Linked DNA regions of Caenorhabditis elegans. The protein of the gene in region 1 purifies or fractionates together with the protein of each later gene. This does not show direct contact. Each region holds a gene or a part of one and is shown on either strand. Other genes may lie near its edges.

The links.
Region 2: the proteins of oac-56 (region 1) and fbxa-150 fractionate together in Caenorhabditis elegans (co-fractionation; one large-scale study listed by BioGRID). This does not show direct contact.

The regions. Positions count from the first base shown.
Region 1 is NC_003282.8:14,346,012-14,356,180, forward strand, and holds the start of oac-56 (Acyltransferase), read right to left. Parts: upstream 4,741-10,169; 5' UTR 4,720-4,740; coding exon 4,616-4,719; intron 4,560-4,615; coding exon 4,467-4,559; intron 4,438-4,466; exon of another isoform or gene 4,417-4,437; coding exon 4,245-4,416; intron 3,749-4,244; exon of another isoform or gene 3,728-3,748; intron 3,631-3,727; exon of another isoform or gene 3,610-3,630; intron 3,507-3,609; exon of another isoform or gene 3,486-3,506; intron 3,352-3,485; exon of another isoform or gene 3,331-3,351; intron 3,203-3,330; exon of another isoform or gene 3,182-3,202; intron 2,923-3,181; coding exon 2,794-2,922; intron 2,741-2,793; coding exon 2,405-2,740; intron 2,357-2,404; coding exon 2,236-2,356; intron 2,198-2,235; exon of another isoform or gene 2,177-2,197; intron 2,147-2,176; exon of another isoform or gene 2,126-2,146; intron 1,734-2,125; exon of another isoform or gene 1,713-1,733; intron 1,518-1,712; coding exon 1,210-1,517; intron 1,203-1,209; exon of another isoform or gene 1,181-1,202; intron 1,083-1,180; coding exon 962-1,082; intron 912-961; coding exon 803-911; intron 710-802; exon of another isoform or gene 689-709; and 7 more.
Region 2 is NC_003283.11:20,517,407-20,527,575, reverse strand, and holds fbxa-150 (F-box domain-containing protein), read right to left. Parts: upstream 4,979-10,169; 5' UTR 4,956-4,978; coding exon 4,807-4,955; intron 4,382-4,806; coding exon 4,296-4,381; intron 4,251-4,295; coding exon 3,682-4,250; intron 3,469-3,681; coding exon 3,326-3,468; intron 3,260-3,325; coding exon 3,115-3,259; 3' UTR 3,064-3,114; downstream 1-3,063. Other genes in the region: Y38H6C.24 (Transposase), read right to left, coding at 839-921, 1,021-1,123; srh-166 (Serpentine Receptor, class H), read left to right, coding at 1,710-2,028, 2,086-2,279, 2,345-2,648, 2,689-2,876; Y38H6C.9 (DUF38 domain-containing protein), read left to right, coding at 5,306-5,346, 6,109-6,194, 6,238-6,755, 6,809-6,945, 7,064-7,196; Y38H6C.25 (FTH domain-containing protein), read right to left, coding at 7,514-7,789, 8,080-8,283.

The DNA.
Region 1 (10,169 bases):
AACTTGGAAACCAAAAAAGTTTTACTGAAAAGTTCAAATTTTAATTTTTTAAATCCAAGAATTACAAAATTAGATTTTTCTTAAATTTCATCACATCCTGTATACGCCAATAAAATTAAAATTTGAAACTTTTTATTTTCTGTTATAAATTATTCATATAATTAAAAAAAACAAACAATTAAAAACCCACGTGGCATTTCTTGCATTTTATCTGCCTGAATCTCTTCACCACCGGTCTCTTTTCGTCGTCCGCCAACTTTTTACTCAAATGCAGAGCATCCATGTCATCTGGCCTAGTTACAGCGTAGTGCAGGAATAAGTTCAAAAAGTTTTCATGAAACTCTGGGAATGCGTCCAGGATGTATAGTTTTTTCACGTATCTAAAATATTTTTTTTTCTGTTTTGAAACAGGATTTTTTATAACTAACTTTTCATAATGTGCAATTGTTTCATTAATTTGTTGCACAATCTTATCATCCTTTTGAACAGGATTTTTTATGTTATTCATATATCTGAAAAATTCCAGATCAATTAACTAAAATGAATGTTCGTTAAAATAAAACAATTATTGAGTGCAGGCTCATTGAGACATTGTTTCTAAAGTAAAATGACAAATTCCTTTTTTACTTGAAAAAAAAACTTGATGTTTCACAATGTTGATAAAAAAAACTTTCCAATACTAAAATATTTGTCATATATTTTATGTACAGAATTAAGCAAAAAAAAATAGCATTTCTTAATTTATATAATTTTTCACAATAAAATTTTGAAAGTTTATGTTACTAAATGAAATAAGTATTACCTTGCCACTATGAAAAGCACGTCGGGCTTGTGCAATTCCACTTGTTTCTTTGAAAATTCCAAAGCCTGCTGAGAAAGCAAACGGTGGTCCGAAAAAAGCCCGTAACTGGCTGAAAATGTTTCTCAATATAAGAATACCAGAATAAGATCTATAACTCACCAATAACTGACATATATCGATAATCTGAATAGTTGTAGTTAAAATGAGCTCGGATGTGCTCGCTGAAGTTAAGCACATAGCTATTTCCAATCATCATGACTGATAAATTGCCTTTTCCTGGCTTAAAATGAAATCCTAGATGTAACTTTTAAAAAATATTTTTTCAAAAAATTACTGTTTCCGAAATTCATCAAAAATCGAGAAACAGAAAGTAAAAAGTTTTCTGATTTCTCTTAACTTTTACTCACCGCAAATCTACAATAACCTTTGAGATCATTTTTCGGAAAAGGCACATCAATGTCATTTTCGATACACTTATCCTTTTTTGGCTCCAAATCCCAAAGCGAAGTATACAAAACCAGGTTTTTGTCGATAATTTCTCGAGTTTCCGGTGTGAAATTGTTCATCCAAAATGTGTCATTTCTGACACTATATTGAAAATATGCATTACTTGCGATTAGTAGGAAAATTAATGGAAAAACTCCTTTCATGTCCAATTTCAGGTATTGTTTCTCGAAAAGATGATGGAGAAGAATTGATGAAATGAATATGATCACTGAAAGTATAATTGAATAGAATAAATCTATTGAGTAATTGAAATCTTATATTATTTTTGGGAAAAGGGTACATGTTTGAGAATAAAATAGTCAGTTGAGAAGAGAGTTTAAATTTAAAAATAAATTAGTTTTTTCAAATGCGTGAAACTTAAACTTTCAGATGGAGAGCAATTCTGAAAAAAAATCAAAGTTTTTAACATTTGATTCGAGGATGACTATTCTAAAAACATTAACTATCTTTAAACAACCAACATGAAACAGTTAAATACTTCAAATGTCAAAAAAAAACCTTTAAAAAACTAAAACTAAAACTCTATTGCCAATTTTCAAGAAACCGATAATAAATGCCATTTAAATTTGATTACTACAAGTTTTTCAAATTAACATTATGAAACGGCGAAATTTTCTAAAAGTTGTATTATCGTGAAATCTTGTGAAATTTAAATTTTGGGCTTTAAACTTTAAGAAAATTTTTCTTTAAACAGTTTCCTCAGCTGGTTAAAAAATTTCTGAATCAAGTCCGAGTGTGACGTCACACTTTTCTAAAATTTCATTTTCACAACGAGACTGTAGTCTAGTATACTGACGAAAAATCGGAATTATTTAGGAATCATGGATCTTAACATAACTGAATACTTTTGAAAATATTCATTACTTCACAGTTTGTTGAAACGGTAGATTACATATTATTTTTTCAATAAATAAATCCCAACTCACTGATACAGAAAATATAACTTCTGGCGTTTGAAATCAAGAAAATTGAAATAACTGGCCAATGAACCAGGTACAATACATATGAAATATCCCCAATATACCCGAGTGTCGGGGATTTTAGAAACTGAAATTTCTGTTTTAAATTCAGTTAAATATTATGCTATAAACTTACCTGAAAATTTTTCGATTCACATGCAATTATCACAGCAGTTGCTACAGTAACCAGTGGTCTTAGAACTAAAACTTTAATCTCCATAGTTGATAGACAAAGTGCTAGCGCTGACAAGGATACAGTAACCAGGTCATTTTTAGTCAATGGACATGTGAAAGTGCTAGGCTTCTCAGTTTTACTAGGTGTTCCATTTTCTTGAATCTTGCTCCAAAAAAGAGCAGAAAATCCTACAGAAAACTGCCACAATCTGAGGAACATGAAGTTGAACGCGAATTTGTCCAAGATCAGGGCAAAACCAATGAAACCGAAAACTGAAATTATCAAGACAGTCGCTAGCTGAAACATTAAAAAATTTTAAAAAAATTAAAAATTTGTTAAAGACGAGTTACCTTCAGATAGTCATTTTTCAGAAATTGTAGTCCAAAAAATATAATTGGAACAAAAAGATAAAATTGCATTTCCAAGGAGAGGGACCATAGATGAAGGAACCCGTTTATTGAAGACGTGGCGGCAAAAAACTGGAAAATTGGATATTTTGACAATTTCCAGCGGGGTTTGCGGCAAAATAAAGTTTTGAACACTTTTTCTGACTAAACTTTTAGAAATTATTATTTTCAATATTAAAAAAAAAACCATTAAAATGGGTTCATTTTAAAAACAAACACCAGAAAATAGGCCAAATCAGAAAATAAATTTGCAAAATAATTTTGAAATTTTTAGAAAAAAAAATTACGGTTTCTATTCTGTCATTTAAAACCAATTACCAACAGAGAGCATTCAACGTATTGTATTCAACTTTTTTATAGAGAGTTTAACAATGATTTTATAATAATTTGTGGCATAATTTCAACTCGAGGAAAGTTGAAAAGTTTTCAAATGTTGTTTCAAATAAATTTGAAAGTTTGCTTAACATTTTTCTGAATCATTAATCAATTTAAATAGCTAAAAAAAAATTATCAGAGTTCCTGCCATTTATAGACAAATCTAATGTCCTTTTGCCAAAGACTAAATAATTGAATATCAAGTTAAAAAACTATTTCGATAAATTTTCATAATTGTATCTTTTTTAATATACTTTCAGTACAAAACTTGTTGAAAATAGAGAAGATGTGTAACTATTTTAGCCGCTTCTGACCATTGTGAATAAAATTTTAAACACTGTTTCAAGTTTGTAAGAAAAGTTGTTCGATATATTTAAAATCTATTAAGGAAATTATTAGAATGAAATCATTACATGAAAAGTTATACACGCTATACTTAAATGATTCATATTTTCACCATTTCCAAAACTTGAAAAATATTAGAATGTCGTTTAATTGGAGCTGTTTTTAAAACCATTATGAAAACTCTCATAACAAAATTTTAAGTTTTTTCCAAAATCCTTTTACCTTGAAAATTGTTTTAAATATTGGATTATCAAATTGCAGTAAATGGAAGGAATGGACACTTTTTGTAAAAAAAAATTGTGGTAGAATTGAACTCACAAGGGGTATAGTTTGCACAATTTTTGAAAATTCATTTTTTTGCGAAAGAATAATTTGGAAAAGTGAATATAACATATAAAGTGGGTAAAATACACGATAAACTTATAAAAAACTAAGTTGCTGTATAATTTTTTGCTACATTTAGCTTAAAAATTGTTTTAAATATTGGATAAAAAAGTTACTGTTCCACAGAAGTGATGAATATTAAAAGCAAAATGAATAAAGCATTCGGGTTGAATGCCCGAAAATTTTGAAATTTCATTTTTTAGGAAAGAATAATTTTAAAAGTGAATATAACAGAAAAAGTGAACAAAACTACACACTTCCCATAATAAATCTGAATTTTCTTCTCTTACCTCATTAAAATAATCTGCCTGATCATGAATAATCAGCTGATTCGTCACCATGAACAGCGATGCCAACGCATATCGATTATTATTCTTCCACAAAAAATCTCCAAGACACAACTGTGTCATTACAACAATCAGGAAAACCGCCAGAAAATACATTGGTAGAATCCTACGGAATCTATAAAAATTTGGATTTACATTAGTCACCACAAATGCTGTCAACTTAACCTCATATAGTAAAACAGCAGAAAATCATGAATTTTCACTAATTTTGCCTTTGTTAAATTTTTAGCCATCAGAAAACCAGATATCACAAAAAATCTAAAAAAGAAAAATAAATATTGATTTCAAAAATTAAAAATAGTTTCAGGGCTTACATATCAACACCGAGAAATCCATTAACAAATAGGTTAGGGTTCAAGTGAAATAGTAAAACAAAGATTATAGCAATACCACGAAGGCATTGGATGTCTTCTCGCATTGTGGTAAAATCTGGAATAAATTGAATTGAAATTTATGGTAAAGAGGAAAATTTGAAAAAAGTTATGTTTCACATAGTTGCTAAAATTGTTATATATTTTTAAGTTTTAATTCGGTAAATATTGTCATTTTTGGATCGGAAAAAGGAAAGATTCAGATTTGGGTTCTGCGCCTTTACACTTGTATTTTCTTGATTAAAAATAATTAAAATTAAAACAAAGAAATCGCTAATAACCTAGATGCAAAAAATTTGCGCCAAAAATATGGTACATGGTCTCGACATGGCAAAATTCTGTTAAATGCAAAATGTGCACGGCTCTCAATTTTTTTTTAATTGTAAACAAAACGTCTAAACCAACAAAACTCAAGAAATTCAATCAAAAAAGAACACAATTTCTAAGGAGGTCAGGATTGAAAAACACATCCTTAAAAGTTTCAAAGTAGTATAAAATCATCCAGAACTATAATTTTATAAAATATCTAGTTTTAAAATTATTTAAAAATGAAGGTAATTTCAAAATTATGAAGAGAGAACATTCTGAAAGGAAGTTTTTAAAATTTTCCTATTGAAAATAACTAGTCGTGAAAAAACCAAAAAAACAAACATATTTAATTGTTACAAAAATATCACGGATTGGTGAAACATTAAATTTTTTGAAAAAAGTTAAAGTCCAAATCAGGGCTGTGCGGCTGTCGGCTGACGCAGCCAGCCGACAGCCGACTGATAGTGAAAGGTCGGGTGGCTGCGCCAGCCGACCCCCAAATTAGAGTTTTCGGCTGGCGTTTTGAAAAAAAATTAACTGACATTTTGACATATTTTGACACTAGATGCAAGTTCTACAAGTGGAAAAAATAAGAAAATTTGGTTTTTTGATGAATAAAATGATGAAATATTTTGCTATAGTATGTTTTTGTACTAAAAGTATACTAAATAACTTCGAAACTTTTTTGCAATACTTAACCAAAAACACCAGCCGGCTGGCGGCGCCAGCCGACAGCCGAAAATTTTGGGATTTTCGGCTGGTAGCACCAGCCGACAGCCGACTGATAAATTGTTCTCAGCCGACAGCCGAAAATATCAGCCAGCCGCACAGCCCTGGTCCGAATGACGGAATTAGTCTTACTATTAACAAACCAATAACATGAAACTGTGAAAAAATGAAAAAAATGTTTCAAAATTAGCAAAACAAATTATAGAAAAGGTTGACAAAAGACCTTTTTTTTCGGTTTCTTTGCAAACATGTAAAAATGTTCATTACATTGCAATAAAAAGTAAAAAGTTATTCACTACATCCATAGGATTTAGATTAGGATCCAGTAAAAACCGGTTTTATATTCTTCACTGGTTACTTATATGATCAGTTAATTTCTGTGAAAATACAAAAAATACAGAAACATGGTGAAAATTTCCAGTTTTTATTCGTTAAAACAATTTTTCAGTGGTTTTAAAGAAAAAAACACGATTGTTAACAAAATCATATAGTTTTAAAATTTTTCTTTCATTTTTTTCAGCTTGAAAATTGAATAAATATTTTTCCAATAAAAATTTTATTTCACAACGAATGATCATCGAGAAAATTGTGTACGCAAATGAACGGTATTCTTCTTCTCGTGTGTGTGTAGTTTAGCCACTCTATTCAGGTCATAATACCGGATTTTTCCTGCTTCCTGTTTTATGGTTTTGCCAAATTGATCATATGAACTTTCTTTGTATTAGGAAAATACTTGATGCGCGGAAATCTTTCCAATCTTGATTATTTTTTCCCTCGGGAAAAATAAGTTATTCGAGTAATTGGAATGGTTTTTTTAAATTACAGATGCTGCTTCAACAAAAATTTTTTTAGACATTATCTACCAAGATTGTTATTCTTCATTCTTGCTGGAGTTTTTTAAAAAGTTTTCTAACTTAAAAAATAAGAATTATGGGCTACAAAAAATAAAAGAGAAAAAATAAATGTACATTTTAAATATTACAAATTTATCTATTTGATGTTTCATCTATGTTTTCAGTTTTTTATCTGAAAAATGGTTTTGTTTTAGTAGACCTTAGACCTTCATCGTTGTAAAAACGTAGTAAAAGCGTGTAAAATGTAGCTATTATCTGCGAGAAAAGAAAAAAAATTAATAAATTGTAGAGTTTCAGAAAAAAAAATCGTGTTTTTCCACACGGGATTTGTAAAATAAAACCTAAAATTTGAATAAAACTTCCTCAAGTTTTCAAACAATATTGACAATTTCAACATCCTTTTTTAACATTAATCTTCCAAGATTGTGTTGAAGATAGAAAATCAACATTAGTTTGAAAAAAATATTCAATGCCTAAACAATAAATTGAAATTTTTTTTTAGCAAAATATGATAATAACCAAACAGATTTATAAACGGTTATAAAATTTTTTTTCAAGATTTTTAACTTCGAAAATTTGTTTAATAGTTTCGCAAATACAAATTCAAAGAAATTAGTTAGAAAATATGTTGAACAATACATAATCTACGTGAAACAGATTTTTTTTGCTCGCGCAGTAATTTTATCGATATTATTTTAGAAAAATTCAAAAGTCAATAATAATACATGTAAGGCTGTATCGTTATCGACATATTCAACTTTTTCAGGTATTCATGAAGAATGTGAAACAGTCTGAAATTCTTAAATTTTTCAAATTAAACTTTCAGATCTTCCGGCTCCTCCTTGCAAAAATGTATACAAAGCGATGATTTTAATCTAAATACCGACAATAATTGGAGCATTTCCTTGTGATTTTTAAGTGGCTGAAATGATAAAAATATTTTCAGAATTAGTTTAAAACAATGAAACAAATGTTCAATTTTTAATTTTTTTTTGTGAAGTTTTCTGTTTCTGTTCAGATAGTATCATGATTACTGTTCAAGTTTGTTCCGCTTTTCTACAGATATGACTTAATATTTGATCTCTTGATTTTTTTCACTCGTTTTTTCACTCGGGAAAAAATAATTGATTCGAGTAACTGAAATAATTTTTTTAAATTACAGATACTGTTTCCTTTTTTAACATTAATCGTCCAAGATTGTTATTAGTCGTCTTACTAGGGACTCTTTTTTGGTCACAAGAGAGTTATGGGTTGAATGATATATTTTCTGAAAGCTAATGCAATGAAAATATCGAATTCAAAATAAACTATTGCCCAAATTGATGCTAAGACAATTTTTTTACTCCGAATGCGTATTTAAGTTAGTCTGGTAGATGTTGACTTTTTAAATTTTAAAAACATAAATTCCAGGCTACAAAAAATGCAAGAAAAAATAAAATAAGCAGTTTACAAATTACAAATTTATAACAACAACTTAATTTTTCATTTATGTTTTAAGTGTGGTTTCTGAAAAATAGTTTTGTTTCAGTATACCTTTATAGTTGCTAAAACTTTGTGTTTGAGAAGGCTGTAATTTTATATCAGCTAAAAAAAGAAAATTTTAATAAATGTCGTGCTTTTCTACAGGGAATGTTTAAAACAAAACCTAAATTTTGAATAAAATTTCCGCAAGTTTTGAAACAATATTTAAAATTAATTTTAAAATCAATTTCGGTGTTGATGATAAAAAAATCAATCTAATAATTTGAAAAAGTATTCAACGCTTAAATTATAAATGTGAAACAGTATTTAGTAAACTATAATGGACCTTCAAAGAAAAAAGATGTTTTCTGAATTTTTAACGTCATTTTATAGTTTTATGTTTTTCACATAATTTTCCATTTGACAATTACCAAAACATACCTAAAACGAGTCAAGCCGAAAACAGCTTACAAAACGCGTTAAAACATTTTGAAAATTTGTTTAACAGATAGTTTTGAAATAAAAAATCGAACATATTGGTTAGAAAAATTGTTGAACAAGGAATAATCCACGTGAAACAGTTTGTTTTTGTTAGCGCAGTGATTTAATTCGTATTCTTCTAGGAACCTTTGTATCAATACATTCAACTTTTTCAGATATTCATGAAGAATGCGAAACAGTCTGAAATTTTTTAATTTTTCAAATTGAACTTCCAGTTCTTCCGGCTCCTCCTTGCAAAAATTTATACAAAGTGATGATTTAAATCCAAATAGCGACAAAAATTGGACCATTTCCATGAGATTTTTGAGTTGTTGAAATGATGAAAATATTTTCAGAATCAGTTTAAAACTATGAAACAAATGTACAATTTTTAATTTTTTCAGAGTTGGGAAGTTTTCTGTTTCTGTTCAGATATTATGATTACTTTTCAAGTTTGTTTCATTTTTCTCAATTGTTCAATTTCAGTTCTATTGCATCTTCTCTTTATGTTTTAATAACAATAATATTTTAAAGTAAACTGAATGTATCAATGTTTCCAATCGCAAGTGTTTCTGATTTATTTTTTTTTAATTTCAAAAACGTGTGCATAATATTACAAAAGTTTTTTATTTGTGAAAATATAAAATTGTCTTTTGTTTTTTTAAAATTTCATTGTGAGGCTTACAAAAACTATTCGAAACATTTTTTTAAAATTTGTTTTTACTACTTTTTACTACTACATTGAGAACTCAATCTGTTAACTTATTGGATATCTATGAAAGAGCTGAAACGGTTAAATGATTTTTCACGTTTGACTCAAACTTCTAATTTGCTAAAACTTGTTAATTTCCAGTTTTATGTGCAAAAAACTTTTGAAACTGCTCAAAATATTTCCTGTTTCAAAAAATTGTTTTTAGCCTTACTGGAAATAATGAATATTCCGAAATAATGGATATAAAGGATTTCAGAACAACATTTTGAAACACTGAACTTTTTTTCGTTTCGGGATTTTTTAAATTACCGACAACCCCGCCACAATTTTTGTGAGTGAAAAAAAATAAAAAATAAAATATCGAAAAATTAAACTGAAAATTGTAAAATTATCATATGTTCTGCAAATTTTGAAAAAAAACGACAACTTGAAATTTTCCGAAAAGTTTTTTATTTCTGTCTTCTTGTTCTCACTAGTTCGATCTACACGAGCAATGAAATAAATTGTTTTGCATAAATTATGTAGGCATGCTGAAACAGTCTTTTTTTTAGAAACTCGAATAAAAATTATGTTCTACCAAACAACATTTAGATTCAAGTATATAATAATGATATTTGTATTTTAGTATAAAAACGAAGTTAATACTTTCATTGTTTTAGCAATCTGAAAAAAGTGGGTCTGAAAATATATCTAAAACTCGGAAAAAAATAATTGGTTTCAGTTTCATGTGAATTTCCATTTCTCTTTTCTGCAGGATTTTTTTTGAGTTGGAATTCAATTTTTCGTTTCTAGCGTTATATTATGTCTCCAAAATCCATAATAATAATGATAAATTTTAGAATTTTTCAAAAAATTCTGAAATAGTGATTTTTTTTTGAAAACGAGAGAAAATTTTCTGGTTTTAACGATCAACATCTGGATTCAAGTAGAAAAGAGTGTTCCACTCGAAAAT
Region 2 (10,169 bases), on another chromosome or scaffold:
CTCCTCCTAGTTCCAGTAATTGCAGGAAAGGCATCGGAGAACCTTCGTAGTAGAAAAAATTACAGAGTTCGTCATAACAGAGGCCTCACCAAGAAAGCACCCTTTCTTAGACTAGTCTAGTTCCAAAAATTCCAGTTAAAGTATTTAATTTACAGTAAACTCCCTGTATACACGTGGTGTCCGAGTGTTCCATTTCGGTTTGATCTATTTAGATCTACAAAAATTGCAGGAATTGGGACGCAGAGTTCTCAACTTTCACATGGTGCTTACGTCACATTTTTTTGGGAAAAAATTGCCGCATTTTTTGTAGATCAAATCGTAGTGGGACATCCAGGCATGACATATGTATTCCGGTTAATTTCAGGGTTTGATGATGCCGTTTTTCAATTAGCTCATTTCACTCTTTCCCTCTGAAGCTAGATCCCCAAATAATACCATGGTAACCAAAACGATGATAATATTGGCAACACAAGAATATTGCGCACCTCTGAGTATGTTATACTATGTCCGTAATATCTGCGTCTGGCCAGGGAAACCTATTAATTTGGCCAACATTTTGAAGACTCAGAGACCCATCAGTGCATCGTTGGGCAGCAAAGCAAAGAGCTAATCTGCTGAGTTTGCTTAATGTAGTCATAGAGAATAAGATTTGTTCCTCATAAGATTTTCATTAATTTAAACAAAAATTTGGGAAGCAACCCCCCTTAGCTTTAGGAAAGAAAGACTACTTGAAAAAACTTTTTAATACAATTTGAATCACATTTATTATCAATTAACAGATAAAAAATGAAAAATGAGATCACACATCTTAAAAGGATAAAAAACAAAACATTTAAAATCAAGATCGAAGTGATAAGCCTTGGAACATAATGCGTTTTCCATTTTCTTGAATACTACCATTATACGAATCAATTAGAGTTTCTGAAATCAAGAAAATTACACAGTTGTTAAAATTACCAAGTTGGATTAACTCATGAAATTGATTTAAAAAAGAAGTTATCAAAACGAAAAATCCCTTACCTTCACTCCTAAAACTGCTTTTAAAATCAAAACCTTGAAATAACAGATAAAAATTGATAGCATACACGAAAATCATCAAAACTGCACCGATGTTAACTGACATTTTCCAAATCTCCAACACTTGGCTTCGTTTTAATATATATTCACCACCCTGAGCACTAATAGGACACGCCTACTTTTTCCAATTTCCTTTTCCTAGGTTTGGGGTTACGAAATATATGTAAGTACACTTTATTTTATGTTTGTAGTGAATTCCTAAACAAGTGAGTCACCTGGAAAGAGCCTTATCGGTGATAAGGAAATTGTGATGTGATTTTAATGTCTGGAGTTTTGTCTTGATAAGAAATGATTATTGTTAAGGTGATCAGGAAACACGAATATGATTCATAATTAATAAATATAAATCGCGGAAAAACAGAGTCGTTTTAGAGTTACATAGCAAATAGAGTGTTTACTAATTCTTGAAATTTCTGAATTTGATGGTTTTCTGTGGACCAATACTTTATTTTAAACCTTATCAATGAGCATTTTAGGTATGTTGTGTTTTTTGCCGTTCTTTTTTTTCAAATAAATGCCAGAGAAGCCTGACAGCATAAATCAGCAAAATTAATTAACAAAATTAATTGGAATGCAACGCCAAAAACATTCTCATTTCATTTCAACTTCCCTTTGCTAATTTCACTTGTCGAATGTGTAGCAAAACTCCAATATTATCTGATAAAGACACATATCATGCAAATGCTCTTCACATCCTTACCTCGTTCGAGGTTCCTATTCATATCTTCGGTGCTTATATTATCATAGCAAAGACTCCAAACAATATGAAAAATGTAAGAACGAATATGCTGGTTCTTCACTTGGCGGGTGCCTTATTAGACATTTATATGAGTTGCCTAGAAATTCCAGTATTCCTTTTACCTGCCTGCGCCGTATATCCACTTGGAGTACTAACGATGCTTGGGGTTTCAACTGTTTTTCAAGCCTACGTAGGGGTTTCCCTTATTGGAGGTATGGTTTATTCTGGTTGTGTAAACAGAAAACCATTTTTTAAAAATTAAAATTCAGTGATTGGAATGGCGATTCTTATGTTCTTCGAGGAGCGATATCACAAGTTAATCAGAAATCCAGGTGTAGATAGAAAACGTGGCTGGAAGTACGTTGTATACATTGCTATTCACTATATTATTTCAATAACGTTCATTCTACCTTGCTTTTTAAATATTCCCGATCAAAATCTTGGAAAACTAATGATTATGGAGGTTAGTTTAGTCCTCTAGCATTGAAATCTTTGGACCCAATTAAACAATTAGGTATTGAGTTTCAGACAAATCCCTGCATTCCAGAAGAAAAAATAAATCATCCCGATTTTTTTCTATTAATCACTGAATCTGGTCCGCTCTACTTGAGCCTCGGAATCGCGGCTCTTGTTATTCTCCCACAGGGCGCATTTTTCATCTTAAGTATATTTTGGTATCTTTTCACGCTGAAATCAAAATCGCGAGCCACAACTCGTCTGCAAAAACAGTTGTTCTTCGCAATGTGCTTACAAGTAGCCATTCCAATTTCCGCTATTTGTATTCCAGCCGGTTATTGCGTTGTAGTTGTTGTCGTCGGTTATTACAATCAAGGTAAGCCTCGTAAAGTTTGCAGAGTAATGAAGCCTTTTAGAAGCCAATAATCTTGCTGTATTTACAATGGCACTTCATGGAGGTCTATCAACGTTTGTTATGCTGACCGTGCACGCACCTTATCGAAATGCGACTTTGGAAGTATTTGGAATTAGTTTCAAACGAGTCGTACAGAAACCTAATCAAGTTTGGAACAAATCAGTCAATGAAACAGGAGTAGTACCGTAGTACACAAGTACCCTAGTACCCCAGTACCCCAGTACCCCAGTACCCCAGTACAATAGTCCCCTAGTATCCCATTACCCTAGTACCCTAGTACTCTACATAGTACCCTAGTACCCAAGTACCCTAGTACCCTAGTACCCGTTACGCACATCTTGTGCCTGGTGTCCGACAAGCAGTTAAAAACTATTCTGTGATATAAAATAATTCATTGATAACAATTTGTGCTTATAATTAAAATTTACTAAAATTTCGTTCGAAACGTTTCCCAAATATGATCCCGGCTGCAAATTGATCCAGTCACATCAAATATGCTGATTGAGACAACGAGAATATTGTTGGAGTCCTCTACATCGAAGAACTGCACGTGATAAGTGTAGGCTGGGTAGCTGAAGTAGAAATATTTATATTTAGTTTCAATGGGAAACTATCGAAAATGTTCCTCTAAAACTCACCTCAATTGTAATGCGGCAATTGTAGGAGGCTGATGCTTTGGCTGAACATCGAATTGGCGCAAAACTTGCAAGTGATCAATGATTACAGCAACCTCAATGTTGAAAAACGAGCCAATGGGTAGGTTGGGTCTCGAGCGGAAGTTCTAAAAATTTGATGTGATGACTATGTATGTAGATTGAGAATAAAGTTGGTACAGCACCGAGCGACCCACGATTTAATCTTTATTGTTGTAAAAGAAGTATTAGGCAAGGGTTCAAATTAACTATGGGCTACGGCCTACTTGTTCGGACAAGTGCCTAAATGCGGATCTCTACGTGGACCTGGTAAGGTTTGGACAGCTACCTTCTTGTCTCACCTTGATCACTTTCCAAGCATCTTCCGGTACCAGCTGATGCACTGTGAGCATGTATTTCTCCACGTGGCTCAGCATGGCATAGTCCACTACGACAGTTTGATCTACCCCAGGCGTGTACCCCCTCGGATTCTTCTTGGCGTGAAGATCCAAGGATTTAGCTCTCTTGAAATGATCGGTAATTTTCAGTTTGTCAAAAACCTTCCCACTCAGCGATTTCATTGTGATTTTTTCTAGGTATTCCATTTCGAAGCGGCTTAGGAGCTTTTGAATCCATTTCGACGTAGATTCATTGCAGTCTATTGCGATTTCTCGAGCTTTGATAATAATTTCGGATTTTTCAAGTTCTGAAATCAAAAGTGGCATAATTGAACGATGAGTCGATCGGAATGGGAATTCGAACACAACTCGTTTTGCATTTGAGTTTTTGTTACGGAAAATTCGACAGAAAGTCTCAACTGCCCCGACTCCAACGGCCATCCTAGTTTCTTGATTGAAATTTTTAAGTTTTTTGTTAGGAATATTGTCAATGTCCAGGAAGATATAATATTTCTTATTGGTTGGGTCGGATCCTGAATGAATGTTTTTTTCTCCAAAAATTGTAGAAGGACACGAACCTTCAAGAAAATTGATACTGTTCAAGTTTTCTGGAATTTTGTCAGCCAAAATCATTTCTGTGCGTGAACATTGACGGATGATGCTTCTGGAAATTATTGGTGTTTTTTGGTTTGCACGTTTTTTTGAGAGAGCTCATTCTAAAATTATAGTCTGAAATACAGAAAACATTTTTGAAAATACTTTTTCACTGAAACAAGAGAAACTCTAGTTTTTTTTTTGAAAGAAAATGTTTCGACGGGAACTTCAAATTTTCTAAAAAATGTTTGGCGGGATATTCTATTTTTCAACCAAAAGTTTTCAGATACATAGAAAAAATAAAAATTTTCAAAGGGCTTTCAGAATTTTGTCTAACCTAGACAGTTTCCAAATCAACAAAAATTTGCAAAAACTCCGCTCGACTTTTTTTCAGGACCAAAATGCTCCACCGCAGCTGATTTTTTTTGTTGAGAGTTTATTTTAAAGGTTTTCTTTAAACTTCATTATTAGAACAGTCAGAAAATTTTTTCGTACCTATCTTCAAAATCCAGCTGTTTCAGTACTTCTCTCATAATATCCTCAGGCAATTTTTGCCATTGACTGAATTTTCTGTTTTTGAGATTTTTCTTTTTGCTCATTTTGTCGCATTTTGTGTGCAAAGGTAAATCCGGTTTGTTCTTCATAGCCAATTCTTGAGAATCTGAAATAAAAAGAAAAATATTGAGAAATATTGCAAAATTTGCATTAAAACGAAAGCGATGATTCAATTCAAAAAAACACGTCAATTTTTCAGCAAAAAAAAATGAAAAAAGTCAAAACCATAAAATATTTGTCACATTCGAGGCAGGCAAGGAAAACGAGAGGGTTAGAGAAATAGACAAAAAAGAAAACATATTGCGAAATAATGCAAATGTGAAAAATAATGGTTCTGTATCGTTTTTTTTTTCTTGGCAAGAATTATTGGATTTTATTTTGTACAGCAATTTATTAGAAAATGAGAAATTTCGAAAAATGGCCTGAACTGCCGGAGGACATGAAGTTGGAAGTAATGAAATATTTGACTTTTGGAGAGAGGTTAGTTTAATTTTAAGCATTGGAAAATTAAAATAACTTTCGGAAGAAATTCGATTGCGGTGAGAATTCAAAACTAAAAAACTTAGAATTAAAGTACGTATTTTTAGAAAATTCTGAAAAGTGCTTAAAAAATCTTTCTTGAAAAATTTTGGTTTTTTACCGATTTACTAGAATCATGAGGTAGTTTCAAAAAATTATAACTGGTTCATTTTATATTTTCTGAAAATTGAAAATTCTTCCTGCCACAATTTTCAAAAATGTTTCAATTAAAGTTTTGCACCAAATTTTTTTAGACTCTGAAAATTTAAAACATCACACTAATAGTACGTTTTTTTTTTGAAAAAGTAAAACATTGGGGTTCAATAAATAAGTGAGAAAGGGAGAAAAGTGTGAAAACTTTTAGGCGGTTGGCGATACAAAGAGTGACTGTTGCCACACAGGGCTCACTCGTAACAATACGGGAAAAGGTGAGATGATACATGAGCAGGTGGACTATGGGTAAATGGTAGGACACAACTAGATCAATATGTCAAACCTGTCAAAAATAACTAGTTTATTTTCTGAAAACAATTGTATTACCTGCCAAAATTTTATCACAAAATTTCAATTTTGCACTAAAAAAATTCTAGCAAAAAAATTTCTCACTATCAGAAATTCGGAGTTTCCCAAAATTTGAGTTTCTAAGGTTTTTTGTCCAAAAAAATTTTTTTGACGTCGTAGACTACAAACTACAAAGTTAACAGTTATAATTTACATGCATAGATGCAAAATTCGACAATGCGCAAAAATGGAAATGAGATTAGCAGACAAAATTCCAAATTCGTTTGACTACGTGGAGCTTAAAAAAAGTAGGTTTTATTCTAAAATTTGTGTATTTCTATTTTTCTCCAGAATTGGAAGTCTGCCTACAAATCAATACTATCCCTATAGAAAGTCTCACATTTCACGGAACACGGGCGGTTCACGAACTTTGTCGAATTTTCGAAAATCCAAGCACAACTGCCAAAAAAGTGATTATTTATATGCCTGAAACTCCCGAACAAGTGTTTTCAACTTTAATCTCGGAATTTGAAACTCGAGAAGTAAAAATTAAGGGGAAAGAGATAATGTTTCGAAAAAATGCTGAAAATTCCAGTTGGGCTGCGCAAATTTTGGCACTTTTCAAGGAAGGTTATCTGGAGAAAATCTACGTGGATTGTGTAACCGGTGCCATTTTTGAGAAATTAGTTGAACTGGAGCAATTCAAAATGTGCAAGTACATAAAATTGGAAGCAAGGGTTCTGTCGGAGCAACAACTATTAAAATTCGATTCATCTTTCAAAGTTAACTATGATTTCCTGCAACATGCCGAACGGTTAGAGTTGTCGCTTTGTGATTTGGAGCCCGAGGATGCTTGGGAAATTATAAAGGTTAAAACAGGAGACCACTCAAACCACTCAATAAAATTCTTGAATATTTTCAGAATTTCCGCTCGAGACCACAACTTCCTATTAACTCGTTTTTCAAAATTTTCGTGGATAATTATGTAAAGAGTGGGAAAATTGTTCGCTTGTTTGATGTTCAGCCAAAAAACGAGGAAGAGATTGCAGAAATTACTTGGTGAGGTTTAAACCTTTTTCTTAATTTTTTTCACTTTTTTCGAGATAACTTTCAATTAGCGAAGCTTAAAAGTTATTTTGAGTGTTAAATAAATCTCACTAACCCAATTTTTTGTCAGCTTTGAACACGTTCAACTCTTCGACATGGAAGATCGGAACAAACTTCTGGTGGTTGGTATGTGGCGCCGTGTTCTATATGGATCCATCTGCCGTCGTGATTGTATTTTGAAGGATTTTGACCGTAACCGTTAATTGTACTTCTTTACTAACAACACGTTTTCAAAGTCCTTGCTCAATGTCGGCTGCTGATTTATAGAAATATCCCCATTTCACTCGAGATCAAATTTCATATTTACAAACTATAAACTGACACAAAAAGTTTTTTCTTGTATCAACTTAATTAAACATAGAATATTCGTACATCTATTTTTAAACTGACGACTTTATTGATGAATTTGAGGTGATTCTATGTGAGGTAGACATAGGATCAACAAACACTTGAAACTAATAGCAACCAATAAAAAAGAACAGCTAATTACTGACTCAACAAAATCATCACATAAAAAACTTCAAATCTCGAATGAATTGTGCAACGCCAATCTGAGCTCTTCGATGGTTTTCGGAGTTTTGATGACTTTTCCGCTGATATGCCACGGGGTCAGTCGAACGATCATAATGTGTTCCAGATTGTGTTTGTTGCCTTTCATAAATGGAATGTGAAGAAAAACCTTGTTCGTGTTAGTTTGGACGGTGTCGGTTTTATTCATAAATGGGCTTAAGTCCATTTTTTCAAGAACGTTGATGTTGAACGTGGATGTTAGGAGAGGGGTTTCGTGACGACGAAGCTGAAATTTTCATGGTTTTCTTCATCTTCTTACATTCAGATATACTAATTATATGTTAGGCTAATTTTTTATATCCGTCAATTTTGTGGTTTGTGACCTGTGACATAGCACTAAACGGAAAATGGGCAAATTCTCAGAAGCTCACTACTTTAGTGGATGGACCCTGTCAAGACTCCCGTTTCAACGAGACAGGAGAAAAGTTAGAGTCCCTGGCTATTTTGGCAGTACCCTTATTACTGACTAAACAGTAATTTCTAAAATTCCTAACATTGATTTTTTCCAATACTTACATTAATAATGCACTCAATGAGTTGATAGTCCGCACAATCCAACTGAACTTGTATATTGTCCTGAACGAGCAGTTGCCGAGCAGTTTTTCTTAGACTGTGCACATATACGTTGAGAGCATTCGTGAATTTCCGTTTGTATGTGTTCAAGATCAGTGGAGGGCCTTCATTCGCCTTCTTATATTCGATTTTGAAGAAATCGGACATTTCTCTCAGTTTCAGCTTATCGAAGCAGAAGCTGCGAGTAGTAACAAACAGAAGAATAAAGAAGCTATAAACGCAGACAAGGTACAAATGAGAGGAGGGCTTGACGGTGGCGCCGTGGGCAACAGGAGCCAAAAGGTGCAAGGGTATGTGTGGGAAGTCTCCCCGGAGATTACTGACGTCGGGGCTAGAAATGTGCATGTATGTGAAATCAGAGAGTTGCTGAATTTACACACAAATCATCACGTACCCCTGAATTATGTTCAACTTTGTCTACACAACAAATAGAGATAGTTCGATTCGCCGCTTACAGTAACACACCTGCTCATCTAACCTCCCAAGAAAAGGGAGTTTACACGGTGTTCCAATTTTAATGTATTTCATTAAATTTTCTTCTCTTTCTGCGATTCATGTATATGATAATTTGGAGGAATGTTATTTTTAATTTTTAAACTAAATTTTTTAAAACTAAATTGGTTTTAATTTAACTGTTCCCTGTACTTGATTTTTACAATTCAAAGTAAAAACTTGCAAACCCGAAAAATTATGAGAACCACTAATTGTATGATTTGAAATTATGAACAGTCGTCTCATGTGGTATCAGAGTGTCCCCTTTCGGTTTGATCTGCGTCGATCTACAAAAAATGCGGGAGTTGAGACGCAGAGTTCTCAACTGATTTCTCATTGGTAAGAACTTGCTGACGTCATTTTTATGGGCTACAAATTTGCGCATTTTTGTAGATCAAACCGAAACGACCCCGCGTGCAGTCTGTCTAGTTGGCTCGGCTATTCATAGACCATACGGCTGGTGACCTCTTCTCTTCCCACGGGGAGGCAAACGGTACGTCCGAGAAAGTGCGCTCTACTGCTCAATGAGCATACCACTGGTGAGAGGGTATCAACAAAAAATTCATTGGTGTCATTAAATAGAGAATTTTCTGTAGAACATTTTTCATATGCATCACTTCCAAAAAATTTGAGCCGTTTTCGAGATAAATCCATTCTAAAAATGCGACTACTGTAGAAATTAGTGTATGTACGTAAAGTTTGCCTCCCCGTGTTCCCAAAGAGTTCCTTTCTTTCTCTCACACCCTCCACCCCTCTCATTCTCCCTTGGTCTCCATTTCTTGCATGTTCTTGCATATTCCCTATTCTGTCCCCAGATCGATTTGATTTTTCGCGTTTTTTATTTATTTTACTCTTATTCTTTTTAAATAATCTTTAAATTTTATTTTTTTAGTTTTAAATTATCAAAAGTGATGACCCAACGAAGAAAATCCGTAAAGGACCCGGCGTACCGAGCGGTCCGTGCAAAAAAAGGACCCACAAGATTCGAGCAATGGCCGATGCTCCCAGAAGTGGCGAAGAGAATGGTGATCGGGAATTTGAGTTTTGAGGATAGGTAAGACCTTTTTTATTTTTTTGAAAATTCGCAAAAGATTAAAGTTTTACAAAATTTATTTAAAATATCTGAAAACCCCAAATATTCGGAAATTAAAAACAAGTCTTTCAAAATCAAAGTTTCAGTTTTTTTTGGTTTCAAGAATTCGAAAGTATTCAAAAATTCCAATTTTTCTGAAATTTCACACTTCCTGGAAGATAAAAAATTCAAAAAAATACGAAAATTCTCGTAGATAAATCTTGATTGTTAATAACTAGCAAAACAAATCCTAGAAATTTAATTTTTATTGATTTCTATGTTTTCAGAAACAACATTCGTCAGTGCTCCACCGTCGAAATGAAGCTGGTCGATAAAATAGCTGATTCCTTCGACAAGCTGAGAATCTTCGAAGGTATACCAGTTTAACCTCATTTTCCAAATAAAAAAGCGTTGAAAATTCAGCGAAAAACGATGAGGAAACCAAGCAATACTTGTGCCTGTCGATAAA